Oryzias latipes: one gene and its partners. The protein of the gene in region 1 purifies or fractionates together with the protein of each later gene. This does not show direct contact. Links are inferred from orthologs where the notes say so. Each region holds a gene or a part of one and is shown in the gene's direction. Other genes may lie near its edges.

What was found. The genes of interacting proteins can lie anywhere in the genome.
Region 2: the proteins of ppme1 (region 1) and ppp4c purify together in Homo sapiens (affinity purification with mass spectrometry; 3 studies listed by BioGRID and IntAct, with this or other methods). This does not show direct contact. The link is inferred for Oryzias latipes from reciprocal best matches to the Homo sapiens genes PPME1 and PPP4C.
Region 3: the proteins of ppme1 (region 1) and serine/threonine-protein phosphatase 2A 55 kDa regulatory subunit B alpha isoform purify together in Homo sapiens (affinity purification with mass spectrometry; 3 studies listed by BioGRID and IntAct, with this or other methods). This does not show direct contact. The link is inferred for Oryzias latipes from reciprocal best matches to the Homo sapiens genes PPME1 and PPP2R2A.
Region 4: the proteins of ppme1 (region 1) and ppp2cb purify together in Homo sapiens (affinity purification with mass spectrometry; 6 studies listed by BioGRID and IntAct, counting the BioPlex papers as one, with this or other methods). This does not show direct contact. The link is inferred for Oryzias latipes from reciprocal best matches to the Homo sapiens genes PPME1 and PPP2CB.

What each region holds. Positions count from the first base shown.
Region 1 is NC_019872.2:16,425,295-16,429,437, forward strand, and holds the start of ppme1 (protein phosphatase methylesterase 1), read left to right. Parts: upstream 1-1,323; 5' UTR 1,324-1,506; coding exon 1,507-1,598; intron 1,599-2,253; coding exon 2,254-2,347; intron 2,348-2,898; coding exon 2,899-2,991; intron 2,992-3,130; coding exon 3,131-3,188; intron 3,189-3,601; coding exon 3,602-3,653; intron 3,654-4,143. UniProt on the Homo sapiens protein: Demethylates proteins that have been reversibly carboxymethylated. Demethylates PPP2CB (in vitro) and PPP2CA. Binding to PPP2CA displaces the manganese ion and inactivates the enzyme.
Region 2 is NC_019866.2:25,208,670-25,210,962, reverse strand, and holds the end of ppp4c (serine/threonine-protein phosphatase 4 catalytic subunit), read left to right. Parts: intron 1-1,096; coding exon 1,097-1,226; 3' UTR 1,227-1,776; downstream 1,777-2,293. UniProt on the Homo sapiens protein: Protein phosphatase that is involved in many processes such as microtubule organization at centrosomes, maturation of spliceosomal snRNPs, apoptosis, DNA repair, tumor necrosis factor (TNF)-alpha signaling, activation of c-Jun N-terminal kinase MAPK8, regulation of histone acetylation, DNA damage checkpoint signaling, NF-kappa-B activation and cell migration.
Region 3 is NC_019870.2:24,063,032-24,066,769, reverse strand, and holds the end of serine/threonine-protein phosphatase 2A 55 kDa regulatory subunit B alpha isoform, read left to right. Parts: intron 1-1,523; coding exon 1,524-1,615; intron 1,616-1,707; coding exon 1,708-1,987; 3' UTR 1,988-3,221; downstream 3,222-3,738. Other genes in the region: BCL2/adenovirus E1B 19 kDa protein-interacting protein 3-like, read left to right, coding at 3,600-3,735. UniProt on the Homo sapiens protein: Substrate-recognition subunit of protein phosphatase 2A (PP2A) that plays a key role in cell cycle by controlling mitosis entry and exit. Involved in chromosome clustering during late mitosis by mediating dephosphorylation of MKI67.
Region 4 is NC_019867.2:193,803-198,010, forward strand, and holds the end of ppp2cb (serine/threonine-protein phosphatase 2A catalytic subunit beta isoform), read left to right. Parts: intron 1-766; coding exon 767-937; intron 938-1,588; coding exon 1,589-1,762; intron 1,763-1,839; coding exon 1,840-1,929; intron 1,930-2,676; coding exon 2,677-2,838; intron 2,839-2,927; coding exon 2,928-3,046; intron 3,047-3,158; coding exon 3,159-3,231; 3' UTR 3,232-3,691; downstream 3,692-4,208.

The sequences.
Region 1 (4,143 bases):
AATGGCAAACACCTTTATGTAATGTCACGTGACACTTTCTAAAGTTTAAAAGTAACATCTCCTAAGAAAACTTCTTTCTGTATACCCCCACACCTTTTTTTCACATTTAAAATTTGGTCTATGTTATAAATTCTAAGGTATCAATGTAATAACTTCACTACAATAACATACTGACGTGTTTATTGCAAACACAGACAAAGAATTCAACTATCTTGCAGTTTTTGGTGATTTATGGCTCAATGAGTTCCAAGCAGCTTTATGTTCTCCAGATAGAGCTGCCGTTCTGCACATTTATTTACTTTACATGCAGTCCAAGACAAGGTTTGTTAAAAGAACAATTTATTTTTACAATCATTCAATTCAAATAATAATTTGTGGTTGGTGATGTGATTCATAGTCGATATTGGTTAATTTTAAACGGTCCGATTTGATCTAAGTCAATGGCCTAAAATGGATCCAGGGAATCTTTAACAAAAAACTTAACCAGTGTGACTGAGTGATAAATACCTGGATACTAAACAGTGCAGGTGAAGTTTTCCAGATTCCTTGTATTTCTTGCAAGATAATCAAGTGTAAATTAAATATAAGAACAAACAAACAAGTAAACAAGAATTTAAGGTAAATCCATTCACATTTTAGTTTCCTGAAGTTCAGCCCACTATTGTTACTCCACATCAAAATAATACAAACAGAACCTCATTAGAACATTCTATCATACTGTACGGTCATATGTCTTTCCTAATTTCAAAGTGGAATGATGGACTGTATTTCTGCATTTTCCAACGTTGATTAAAATGGCATTATTTCATTTTGAAACAATGTTATGATGCTACAGGTGATTTTATTTGATTCAGTTAACAACTTCCCTTAACATATCGATCTGGTTGGATTGTAGGAGTATAAATCGATTAATAGTTACATCCCTAAATATTATCAGCTCAGTAAAGAGTGAGAGAAGGAAAGACAAAAGTTCAATTTTTGTGATTCAGAAAAAAAATACTGTTAAATATGTTGTGAAAATGCGTATAAACAAATTGTGACACATCACATCATCACTGTAATGAGTGAGGGACTAGCGTTTAATATTAACATGCCTTACAGTGTAAAAGGGAGGGAGCAGAAGAGAAAAGACTTTTCAGCCGATTACCAGTCTAATGGACGACAACTTGTTGTTTTTAAGACACGATTTTAATCATTGAGAAAAATGAATATTTTATAAAGCACAGAAAAAGCTTTGATGATTACTTGTTCATTCGTTGGAGATATGAATGTACTTTTTTTACCGCTAGGTGGCAGCACTTTCAAAAAATGAGTAGAAAACCACCTCAAAACTACGCAGAACAAGAAGAAAGACGGAAAATACAAAGAAGCCGTTAGCCTGTATGCTATAGCGATTCATCAAATGTTTGGTTAACGTCAGTACAAGTGTCAGAAACTATCTTATGCAGCAAAAGAAAGGGAAGGCTATATTAGACATCTCTTGACAGAGCGCTCTTTCCTCACAGCATGGAGAAACAGTTGCATTTAAACCTGCTGGCCTCCAGACCTCCAATGGCTGGTCCTGGTGGATTTCAGTCTGGCTCTAAAATCAAGATGGGGTGAGAAGCTAACAGTTCATAAAACGTTAAAGGGTTTTTTTATATCTACATTTGCGTGTTATTCTTCATACCTCTTGTCAAAGCCATACTGTGAACTTTTGTCTGAATAATAGCTCGCCGAAAAGCCAGACACAGCTGAAGGAAAACCAATATTTAGTTAGCATTTAGGCTAGCCTAGTTACCGCTTATAGAGTAGGCACGACCCGCCTTCTGCAGCTGCTGCAGAGGTTTTTTTATACATATAACTCCTTTGAGTTAACAAAGTCTAGCTGATGCTGTGTAGAGCTTATCGTTTTCTTTAAGAAAAAAATCAGAATATATATACGTACTTGTTATGTTCTGATCCAGGAGACCCCCGTTACGCCCACCAAAGGATAAACAAAATCTAGTTTACAATACAGTTTTACTGATTTAATCCAAAAGTGTAATTACATTCTTATGAAGATGACTCTTTCATTAACTTCGTTAAAGTGGTTCGTTTTCTGCATAAGTCGTGCCTCTAAAGGGGGCAGCTGTGTGTCAGCCAGCAGAATAGAAACAGTAATTTACTAATGGGTAATATGGAGTCAAACCACAGTTTGGAGGTACAGATAGTATGTATATTGTACATAATGATTTCCCCCTCATTTTTATTTGTATTTATATTTTTTTATAGACCTGGCCGGAAGAAAGATTTTACTCCACTGCTTTGGAGTCAGTACTTTGAAACCATGGAGGATGTTGAAGTGGAAAATGAAAATGGCAAAGATATATCCTTCCCAAAATCTCTGTTTCACAAGAATGCCGTGACGATTTTTTGTTGTTTTGATTTACGCATATCATGGAATTAAGATTCAAATGCTTTTCAAATTCTTCGTCTAGGCCAGGGATCTGCAACCTTAAGCAGTAAAGGAGCCGTTTGGGCCTGTTTCTTGCTGATCAAAATCTCATTGGAATCACAAAGTCTTATTTTGCCCTTTAGGAAAAGTTGATACTACTTTATTTTTGGCTTGAATATAGAGCAAAAATATAAAGTGAGAGTAGCTTTTTCTCAAAGTGTGAAATTTTTTCTTTTTCTTTCTTACTTTTGACAGAAGCTTGTATGACTTCCTTTCAAAATTAGACTTCCTGTGCCGAACAGGGTCATCCTATTGCAACTAATGTTCTCCTAAAAAGGTTTTAAACAACGCAACAGCATCTTTTTTGTGCAACATGAGGCTCCGGAGCCACATTGCAGACTCCTGGTCTAGGTTTTAGTTTTGCTTAGCGTTTTAATGTAGTGCTTACAGCCTTGCGTTTTGTTTTCTTGACCGCACAACACATTTTCAGAATTTACTGCAGTGGTTCACTTGGTCCTGTGCTGTTGCTGCTCCATGGAGGAGGCCATTCTGCACTTTCTTGGGCAGTGTTTACTGTGGGTATCATTACCACTGCATAATCCCCTATTCTTAAACAGTAATCGTACACCAATATAACGAGTAATAATAACAATATGTGTGTTGCAAGACTGCCCAGAATACAGATTGAAATGACCTCTGTATATGTCTCTACAGTCAGTCATATCCAACATGATTACCTGTAGGGTGGTTGCCATGGACTTGCGAGCTCATGGTAAGGAAAATACTCTGTAGGCTTTGGAACAAATGACTTTTTCCCATTTTTTAAATGTAAAATAATTTCTGTAGAACTGACATTTTTCTGCAAAAATGATGGAATAAGTTTTCCAATCATTACTCTTTAAAAAAAAAAAGAAAACTAATCTGAGATTGTCACGGTAAGATGAGAAAGCTTGGGAATCCTTTCAGGTGATTTTTAACTAACAATTTTATCCACCCTGTAGTATATTCTCCAGAAAGACTAACATTCTCATTCTCTGCAATACATTGTGAGGAATTTTAACTTTTTTTTTTTTTTTTACTCTACACAAATGTGTTTATATATAAATTTAGAACCAATGCTTTGCTTTTTTTTTTTTGTTTGGTAAGCGTAACAAGAAATTCTGAAACTCGTCTTTAAACCTGCAGGTGACACCAAAGTAAAAAATCCTGAAGACTTGTCGGCAGATACCATGGCAAAGTAAGATACCGTTTTGTAAATACTATCTCTTTTTGTCTGAAGTGGGTTTATAGTTTGTTTGTTTGTTTGTTTATTGCTGGCTTATGTCCAAGAAATATATGAAATCCTATAAACTGGCTATATATGGAGTGATTAAACTACCAAAAAAAAAAGATACGTTTTGGGTTTTTTTATGCAATTGTATTTTTCTTTCAGAGTTAGTAATGTACCAAGTTAATCTGTTTTTCTTGTAATTATGTATTTCTTGTAAACTAGTAAATGAAAAAGGGAACCAATTGTTGCCACCTGCTAGACTGCTGCTGATTTGGAGTAATATTGTTGGACACTGTCAAGAAAATGAAAGATTTTCAAAATGAAATAAAGTGTAAGGAATTAAGTACAGAAATGCAAAAGCAAAACAACAACACAATTTTTGTGTATGTCGTCTTTATTTTAAAAAATCCTTTTTGTAGCATTTATCTTTTTTGACGCTACTCTTCAGATGTCACCT
Region 2 (2,293 bases), on another chromosome or scaffold:
AGATGGCGTTTCTTCATTTTGAAGAGCTCTACAACAGCATCAATGAGCAGCACACGCCTCCATGTGTGCCTCATGAAACCATTCACTCTCCCAGTGAGGAGCAGCAGCTGCCCCCAACTGTGGCAGGAGAAGCCGCCGCCCCTCTGGAACCAGTGGGAGGGGCTTGTAGCAGGGGATGGTGGAAGAATGGATAATAGTCAATTCCTCCTACATTCCCTGCTTTTCTTACTTTTAAAAAAAACTGTATATACATTTTTTTGCACGGTGATTTTGATCAAATCGATTAATTGATCTGAATTGATCCAATCTTAGTAGATCAATAATAGATCCATTAAAGTAGAAATCGATCTTTTATGCTCATTTTTTTCCGGGGATCTAATGTATAACATCAGTAAAGCCAAAGTCTGCTAGCTTGATGCTAACGTATAATGGAATTTCCCATAGGACGGCTAATGCTAACTCTTGGACGACCCAAACATACATTACTGACTCAATGAGCAGCTTTATAGACTCACAGGCAGGAATTTTCCAAACTCTTTTACAGAAACATTTTTGAAAGTAACCATTTGTGGTCTAAAGCTCCATTTTTTGCTCCAATCTTCTGGAATAAAGTGTAATGCTATAAGGAGAGCTCCACCTAGTGGCCAGACGGAAACGCCCTCCAGCAGAGACAGACCATAATGATCTGGTTGTTCAGTTAGAGCTTCTCTGTTGGAGAAAGCATGGAACGCCGTGTGCTGTTAACCATCTCACTGCTTTATTGTGTCAGCTCTCCTGCTGCACTTTAGCTCAGATTGACATCCTGAGGATTTTGTCTAAATAGGTTTATGTTGAGTTCAGAGAGTCATTAGTGTTTATAGAAAAGCCTCAATGAGCAAATGTTTTAATGTTATACATTCGTGTCTGTTTACATACATATTTTGAAATATTTATATACTTTTCATAAAACATGTTTTGTGGGCTTTTATCTTGTTTTCTGATCTGAAAAGTTCTGAGATCCGCTTTAAACCTTGTTTGTGCTGAAGACGGCGTCCTTCTCGCCTAGCGGTTTGAGGGTCTGTGCTGGTTTAACCTCGCCGTGTCTCCTTGCACTCAGGTGTGGAAACGTTGCGGCCATCTTGGAGCTGGATGAGCATCTACAGCGGGAGTTCATCATATTTGAAGCAGCGCCACAGGAGACCAGAGGCATCCCCTCCAAGAAGCCCGTCGCCGACTATTTCCTGTAGAGCTCCAGGCCAGCAGCCATAAGGCGCCGCCATTCTAGTTCCAGTTCTCCCCGGCGCCTCCGGCCTCCTGCTGCTCCCCGACAGCGGCGTCCGTCTGAACTCAAAGCAGTCCGGAGGCCTGCTGGCTCCTGTGGAGCGGCCTGGATGTGGCCTCCATCTGTCCTGCTCTGTAGACACAACTTCCAGCCCGACTCCGCCTCTCTGCTCCTCTTTTTTTTATTCAGACCATTTCTTTTAGTTTCAGTTGGAAAACCGTAACTTCTCTCTTTGTTCAAAGATACGCAGCTGTGCAAAGTTTTATGATTTTAATGAATTCCTTTAATGCATATTATGTTGTCTCTGTACAGTTATTGCTGCAAGATTCCAGTGACCCCCCCCCCCCCCCATATGTCACATGACTCGCTATCTACCATTCAGAACGCTGCTGTGAATAAACTCCTGAAGGACGACTCAGCAGGAAGCTCTTCTCACATCCGTTTCCACTCTTCCTTCCTTTTAACCCGTCTGTCGATTTTGATATTGTGAGAATAAAGTTTTGTACCAATGCTGACCCTTTGCTGATTGATTTACTCTCCTGAAGCTCCGCCCATGTCGCCTGAACGCTGACCCGCTCCGTCCTCCAGGGTCGTTCCCACACGACCTCCTGGAACCCCGTGGTGGGATGGAGGTTCTGTTCTTTCCATGGAGTCATTGCCATGTTTTTGCTTCTGAATAAGGTTCCGGATGGTTCCTCTGGGCCGCTGCACGGCTCGTTTTACCTGAAACCTCTGGTTTCACCCACCAGAACTTCTGGCATCTTTGGACCCGCTTCTGTTAAACCGCTGGGCCATTTTCACCATCGTTCATGTGGAATTCAGTTCCCAGGGTGTAATTTGATCATGCATTTTCTAAATCAATAAATTCAATGCAAAAAACAATCTTAGTTAAACAATAAAATGTTGCATTTTGGATTGTCACATGTTTTTGGTAACATACTTTAGATAAAAAGGCTTTTATATTGAATTTAGTTGAGCATTTTAAAAACGACTGAATATTCAATACAAAGAGGAAATTTACATTTTTCATTT
Region 3 (3,738 bases), on another chromosome or scaffold:
TATGCACAACAATAAAACAAAACGGTCTTGTCATAATTTTAGTATTCCACCTCAGGAGCTCCTCCTTAAATTCACTTACAAATTCTCACATCGGTATGTCCGCTCATGTGTGAAGTATGATTGTTGTATGTAATTCCAGTGTTGAATTAAATACCATGATGGCCACTAGGAGACGCTGTTTTGAAGAAAGCACTGATGACTCCAGGCTTGTAAAGCTTCTTAGATTCTTTAAATTCATACATTTACAACAAACTCCGGTTGACTCAATGCTTGTTATTCCATAACAAAAAACAAAGATACAAAAATGTAAAAGTTTTTTTCCATCAACCAAAACCTGTTAGTCTGCACTGCGCTTCTTCACCTCAGAGATCAGTCACTCCGACTCCAGATATCGTCTGCATCCACAACAAAACCAAATCCAAACAACTGAAAGTTGATCGTTCAGGTGTGTCCATACTGAAAGTAAATCCAAAACAAAAAGGCGTTGTCAGTTTTTCTGCAAACTCCAGCGATGGACTCGCCTTTTGTCTTCAGTCTGCTGTCGGCTCTCCAAGGCAGAGGTCCCCAAACGTTTTCAGGCCACGGATCAGTTTAATGTTGGACAATATTTTTACAGGCGTCAAATTATCAATTTTTTTATCTTTTTCAGTTTCCCTCAACTTTTGAGTGTAAAGTTGTATTCATTCTTTGTAAAATATCTGCAACTGTTTTCTGCTTCATCTGTGCAATAGATTTCATGTTGAAACCATTCAACATGAACAGATTTTCCCTTGACCACAACCGTCAAAGTGGAGCCTCGTCAGACTTTTGGGGTGCAACGGATTTAAAAAAAAAAAAACAGTCCCTTAAACTAGTATTTTCACACTATATTTGTAAACGTGAATCCCCTGTTTGAGCAATGTTAGACAGTTGCTGAATATTCTGCATTATTATTAACATTATGGTCTGTGGGAGCAACTGTCACAATAAATCCACATGTTGAGAAAAGACTCCTGTCTGTTAGATGCAGATATCTTTTATTTTGAAGTCAAGGGCTCTTCTGTTTCTTCACTGGATCTTTTTTGCCTAAACAAACTTTTCAAATAAGTTTATTTATTATTCTTTTTTTTTTTTGCTGGCTTGGGGGTCTCAATTTAGCCGCTTTAAGAAAGTGACGGATGGATTTTCAACATGTGACCGAGCGACTTGACGCGCGTCAAGACTGAGTTGGATGTGGTTGAGAGTCCAGTAGTTTTTCAATAAGTCAGATTCAGAATCAGATTGTAAATAAAAGGGGTAAAAAATGAAGTTTATGGGATGTTTTGCCTCAGTGGCCCGGTACCAATTGTTCCCAATAGCCTGGGATGGGGGAACACTGCACTGAAATACAACTTCATCATTTGGACCAGGGCTTTACATTATCTTGGCTAAAATATGAATTTGTCCCAGATTTTCTCTTGATGTTTGTTCTTTTGTGACAACATGGTGGTGCCGTTGAGTTTTGGCTTTGCATTGATGTCACACCTCCCTCTTTACCTGCACAGGTTCATGAATACCTGAGGAGCAAGCTGTGCTCGCTCTATGAGAACGACTGCATCTTCGACAAGTTTGAGTGCTGTTGGAACGGCAACGACAGGTACCAGCACAGCATAGAATGGTTTTGTATTTAGACCTGGATTGTTCTTGTTGAGATCTCACCTGCATTTGTTGTCACCCCCCCTTTTCCAGCGTGGTCATGACCGGCTCGTACAACAACTTCTTCCGGATGTTTGACCGCAGCCAGCGGCGGGATGTCATGCTGGAAGCATCCCGTGAAAACAGCAAGCCCATGCAGGTCCTAAAACCGCGGAAGGTCTGCGCCGGAGGCAAACGCAAGAAGGATGAAATCAGTGTGGATAGCTTGGACTTCAATAAAAAAATCCTGCACACTGCTTGGCACCCCCAGGACAACATCATCGCTGTGGCGACGACTAACAACCTCTACATATTCCAAGACAAAGTAAACTAAGACGAAGGCAGGTTTGTGAGAGATGAGGTGGAGAGATTCTCATCTTTACCACTGGCAGCCTCACCCAGGATGACCTGTGGGGGTGCAGACTCCCAGCATCCCTCTGTCACCTCCAGGTGACCAGACTTTGCCACTTTGTTTTGGATGTGGACAGAGGAAGACGCTCTGGCCCATCATCAGTCAGTCTGGGGGGTGTAGTCACATCTGCCTTGTTATTTAAGTGATGTGCCAATTTTTTTTTTTTTTTCTTCTCTTCAATGTTTTTGTTTTGTTCAGACAATTTGCTTCTCCACTGTGGGCAATAGTTTCATTTCTGACTACAGGCACGCTCATTTTTATACCTTCCCCTAAATGGTTCTGTAGTAAAACAAAGAAATAAACACTTTAGTGTGTCCCTTTATTGCCCTGTGCCATTGTGATGTTTATTTTTCTAAGGAAATGTGGAGTTTTTGACTCTATGCGAATACTGTTTTAGTCTGTTCCTTTGAGGATCCAGCAGTTAACAGTTGTGTCCTCCTTTTTTTTTTAAATTTCCTTTCACTTCCTGGTTGTTCCTACTCCACAGCATCACCTGACGGTTGATTTTAAATACAGTGAGTCCAGACTGGTCCACTGAGGTTCTCGTCCTGCTCACTGTTTCTGTGCCTCAGGCTTCGGGGTGGGCGACGTTCCCAAGCTCCACAAGAGATTTATTTTGTTTTGAGGTTGGCTCTGTCTTAAAATCATTGTGGTTTAGTTCTGATTTTGTTGTGTGTGTTCAACAATAGGCAGGTATGAGAGAGAGCCTATACAAAGATAACTATGATTGTCATATTTATATACAAAGAAAAGAGAATTTGACTAAGAGGCTTTCCGTCCCTCTTTGGGATATTAAGCTGACCTTAAACAGATCTTTTGTTTTGGGGGGGGGTTTGTCTTCCCATAGTGAACCATTTCTCTAAAGCAGCCCTTCTGAACAGGAACTTGGAATTTGACACTGGACTTTTATTGCTGCACCAACGGAAGTACTTGGATATTTGTGTTGAATGACTGCAACTTAAAGAGAAAACGTTATTTGAGGCATTAAGGCGTCTTCAGTGAGGATGAACTGCAGTCGCTGCTGCTTTGTGATGGCACTCGGTTCTCCAGAACACCACATTTACCTGTAAACTAGGGATATTGATGCCTCTGATAATGTGTAATTATAATTTTACTGACGGAAGAGGAATAAAAAAATAAAGGAACTACTTTTGCATCCTTTTGATTGTTTTGATTCCTCAGATCTAACCTATATTGGGTGATACTTCATTTACTTTGAGAATTAAGGGGAATTTGTTTATTTAATTCTATATCTAATGATGTAAGGTGAGCTGTTACCTATATTTCGTAAAGACTCCATCAGTATGAAAAAAGTGTTACGTAAGTACGCCCCCCCCCCCCCCCCTCCGATTGAGTATTTAACGAACGATGTTACGTCATCACCTAGCCGTGAGCAGGCGTGCCCTCGCTGCTGCTGCTGCTGCTGCTGCTGGTGGGAAAACAAACGGCAGCGGGACTTCAGATCGGCTGCTCCCTCCTTCTGCCGAGACCCGGACTAGAGCAGCGGACTCTTGTAGTGTCCACGTCCGGATGTATGCCGAACAGGGCACGAGCGCTTTGCACTGATCCGAGTCCTGAATGCAACCCACCCTGCTCAACACAAACCACCATGTCTGACGCTGCTAACACTGCCTCCACAGACAACAACGGCGGGGACTCGGGGCTAAACGGTA
Region 4 (4,208 bases), on another chromosome or scaffold:
TGCTACCATGCTATGATACTAAATGCTACCATGCTATATGCTACCATGCTATGATACTAAATGCTACCATGCTATGATACTAAATGCTACCATGCTATAATGCTAAATGCTACCATGCTATAATGCTAAATGCTACCATGCTATGATACTAAATGCTACCATGGTATGATGCTAAATGCTACCATGCTATGATACTAAATGCTACCATGCTATGATACTAAATGCTACCATGCTATGATACTAAATGCTACCATGCTATGATACTAAATGCTACCATGCTATGATACTAAATGCTACCATGCTATGATACTAAATGCTACCATGCTATATGCTACCATGCTATGATACTAAATGCTACCATGCTATGATGCTAAATGCTACCATGCTATGATACTAAATGCTACCATGTTATGATACTAAATGCTACCATGCTATGATGCTAAATGCTACCATGCTATGATACTAAATGCTACCATGCTAAATGCTACCATGCTATGACGCTAAATGTTACCGTGCTATGACACTAAATGCTACCGTGCTATGATAATAAATGCTACCATGCTAAATGCTACCATGCTATGATGCTAAATGCTACCATGCTACATGCTACCCTGCAATGATGCTAAATGCTACCATGCTATGCTAACGAGCTGTTCCGTGTGTCATCTACATGTGATCACGGTTTAGTCAGACTTTGTTTTCACGTAGCGGATTTTAATACATGACGGATAAATGCAACATGACTTGATGATGACGGTCTCCTCAGGTGCGATGCCCGGTGACCGTGTGCGGCGACGTTCACGGTCAGTTCCATGACCTGATGGAGCTCTTTAAGATCGGAGGGAAGTCTCCAGACACCAACTACCTGTTCATGGGAGACTACGTGGACAGGGGCTACTACTCTGTGGAGACGGTCACGCTGCTCGTCACGTTAAAGGTAACCCTCGTTAGCAGACCTTCCTGCTGAGAGTGGGAGCGCCTGAGGAGGTGGGACTGCATCTGATTGTTGTCAGCAGTCTTCTGTGGTCACACCTGCACAACTGTCAGGTTTCTGCCAAATGGTAATATGGGAGGCCGTACCTGCAGTTGGAAGAGGTGTGTTTGTGTGGCAGAGCGGCAGCGGCAGTGTTGTGTGTTCCTTTCTGTGTGTTTCTATGTTTCCGTGTGTGTTTGTGTTTCTGTGTTCGTTTCAAGGTTTCCGTGTTTCTATGTGTCCGTGTGTGTCTGTGTGTTTGTGTTTTCTCTGCGAGTTGGCGGCTGTTTTAAGAAGAAATGTTCTTAAAGGTTACCTGTTTTTAATCTTAATGGTTGTCCGTTTTGGACCGCAGACACTTCTCCTGAATAAGGAAATTAATCTTGAAGTCGGTCTTTTCAGTGGCTGTAACTCCGCCCACCTCCTCAAAGTTTGCTGTAAAGGCGGAGTCAGAGGTCCCGCCTCTGCGTGCAGCTTTGTGGTTGTCGTTGGAGGACTTTAGTCTCGTTAACCAGATCGCAGAGGTCTTTCCTCGGTTTCTCCGGAGGTGTGCGATGTGTGATGCTGTGGAACCTGCTGGCAGCTGGCAGTGTTCATGTGAGGTTTCATGCGCAGGTTCGATTCCCAGAGAGGATCACTATACTGCGAGGGAACCACGAGTCCCGTCAGATCACACAGGTCTACGGATTCTATGACGAGTGTCTGCGGAAATACGGCAACGCCAACGTCTGGAAGTACTTCACAGACCTGTTTGACTACCTGCCGCTCACTGCGCTGGTGGACGGGCAGGTGAGAGCCGCTACACCCAGACCGTCAGGCCATGGAAGCAGGAGCTCTACAGACACTGTCCTTTGCTGTCCTTTCAGATTTTCTGTCTCCACGGCGGCCTGTCTCCCTCCATAGACACTCTGGACCACATACGAGCTCTGGACCGCCTGCAGGAGGTCCCGCATGAGGTACACGCTCCTCACTGGACGTCCCGCTCAAGTGTTTTGGGCCTTACGTCATTCCAATCCTTTGATTTGGAGTTTGTGCCGATACAGAGTCCTGATCCAAAACTTTTGTGAAGTACTTTAAAAAAAAACAAAAAAAAAAACAAATTAATGAACAGATCCATTTTTTCTTTTATTCTCCTCCTTTTATCATTCAACACTTCTACGATTAAGTAAATCCTGCAGCTATCTAGTACGAATAGTTAACTATAAACTAGTCAAAACTGCTGATAATCATGGCAGAAAGTTTGGGGACTGAAGCTTTAGTATCCTCAGAATTGTTGAACATTTTTAATCGGAACAGGAAAAAATCTCAGCGCCGTTTTCAATCCTGATGGTTTTTCTCTTAAAATCCTTTCGTAGGTCGTTGTTTACGTGACACTTGCCGTCAGTTGAAAACATTTTATTAAGAGTCATTGACCCGGAACTCGAAGCTGTGAAAAATTGTGGTGATTCGTTGATGAAATGCAGACTTCTAGTAGAGTATTTATCTGGAATAATAAGCTTGAAATGATGGTATAATCGGGTTAGGGTTATGTCCGATCGGGAGACACGTCTGATTTCAATCCAGTCTGCAACCGATCGATCAACTCCGGTTTGCGATCACGTGGTCGGAGCGGGACAGCCCCGACAGCAGCGTCCTCCTCTGCTGCAGAGCAGAAGGTAAGAGCTGCACAGGTTGGTGTTAATCTGACTCCCCCCACCCCCCAGGGCCCCATGTGCGACCTGCTGTGGTCTGACCCGGATGACCGCGGTGGGTGGGGCATCTCTCCCAGAGGTGCTGGCTACACTTTTGGACAGGACATTTCTGAAACCTTCAACCACGCCAACGGCCTAACTCTGGTGTCCCGCGCCCATCAGCTGGTCATGGAGGTGAGACTCCTCATACACACACACACACCCCCGGCTGTTAGGATGGATGGGCCGTTTGTGATCATGCACCCCCACCCCTCTGTCTGCAGGGCTACAACTGGGGTCACGACAAGAACGTGGTGACCATCTTCAGCGCCCCCAACTACTGCTATCGCTGCGGCAACCAGGCAGCCATCATGGAACTGGACGACACCCTGAAGTACTCTTTGTAAGTCCCACCCCCCCGGGTGTCTCTGGATGGAACATTCCTAGAGAGTCCAATCATCATTTCATCCAACGTGTCTCTGAATCGCACCTTTACTTTCATCCTCTCTCTACAGCCTGCAGTTTGACCCCGCCCCCCGCCGCGGCGAGCCTCATGTGACTAGACGCACTCCTGACTACTTCCTGTGAATGTCCTATTGTCCCCCATAAGTCATTCACCAAGCCCCGCCCCTGCCCCACCCCTCTCATTTTGAATGGAGAAGATGCATTGAGCAGATTCAACAGAGCGGTGATGTCACTAAAGCTGAGCTTCAGCCGCATGTTAACCTTCATCTTCTCCATCTGACATGTTTGAAAACAGGAGAATAAAAAAGTACCGACGTGGACCAAATGTGCCATATTTTGATCCTTTTCCAACAACTGTTTTTGTTTTTTAGAGCTCACTATATCCCCGCCCGTCTCCACCTTCATCCATCTGTGCTTTCTTTCTGTTGCCAGATCAGTTTAAAGGAAACGTAGGAGAGTTTGCTTCAGTAGAACAGCTCTGAGTTTCAGCTGTTAAGGCTGCAGCCAGCAGTCATCTCTACTATATTACTGTAATTTCAATGAAGACAACAGACATGTGAAATAAAATGTCCTATTGACAAACCGCTGCTGTCCGTCTGCTCTGTGCCAAACAAACTGACAAACCTGGATGACATCACAGGGGTTCACTGACACCTGGATGACATCACAGGGGTTCACTGACACCTGGATGACATCACAGGGGTTCACTGACACCTGGATGACATCACAGGGGTTCACTGACACCTGGATGACATCACAGGGATTCACTGACACCTGGATGACATCACAGGGATTCACTGACACCTGGATGACATCACAGGGATTCACTAGCTGAATTTACATGGACAAAAGTAATCGGAAAGAACGCCTGATCGGAAGAAAAATGCGTCATGTAAACACGCCGTTCGTAATACTCTGACTTGTTCGGATCAAAATTTCTTTCCGATCGAGATAGGTGGGTTATGCCGATTGTGGATTCGATCGTTGTTCATGTAAACAGTTCATTCCGATCGTGTGTCACTACTGCTCTGGTTTGACGTCATACATAGATGGTGTTTTGCTCCATAGAAGCTTTGGACCGACCTGCTGCGTAGATTTAT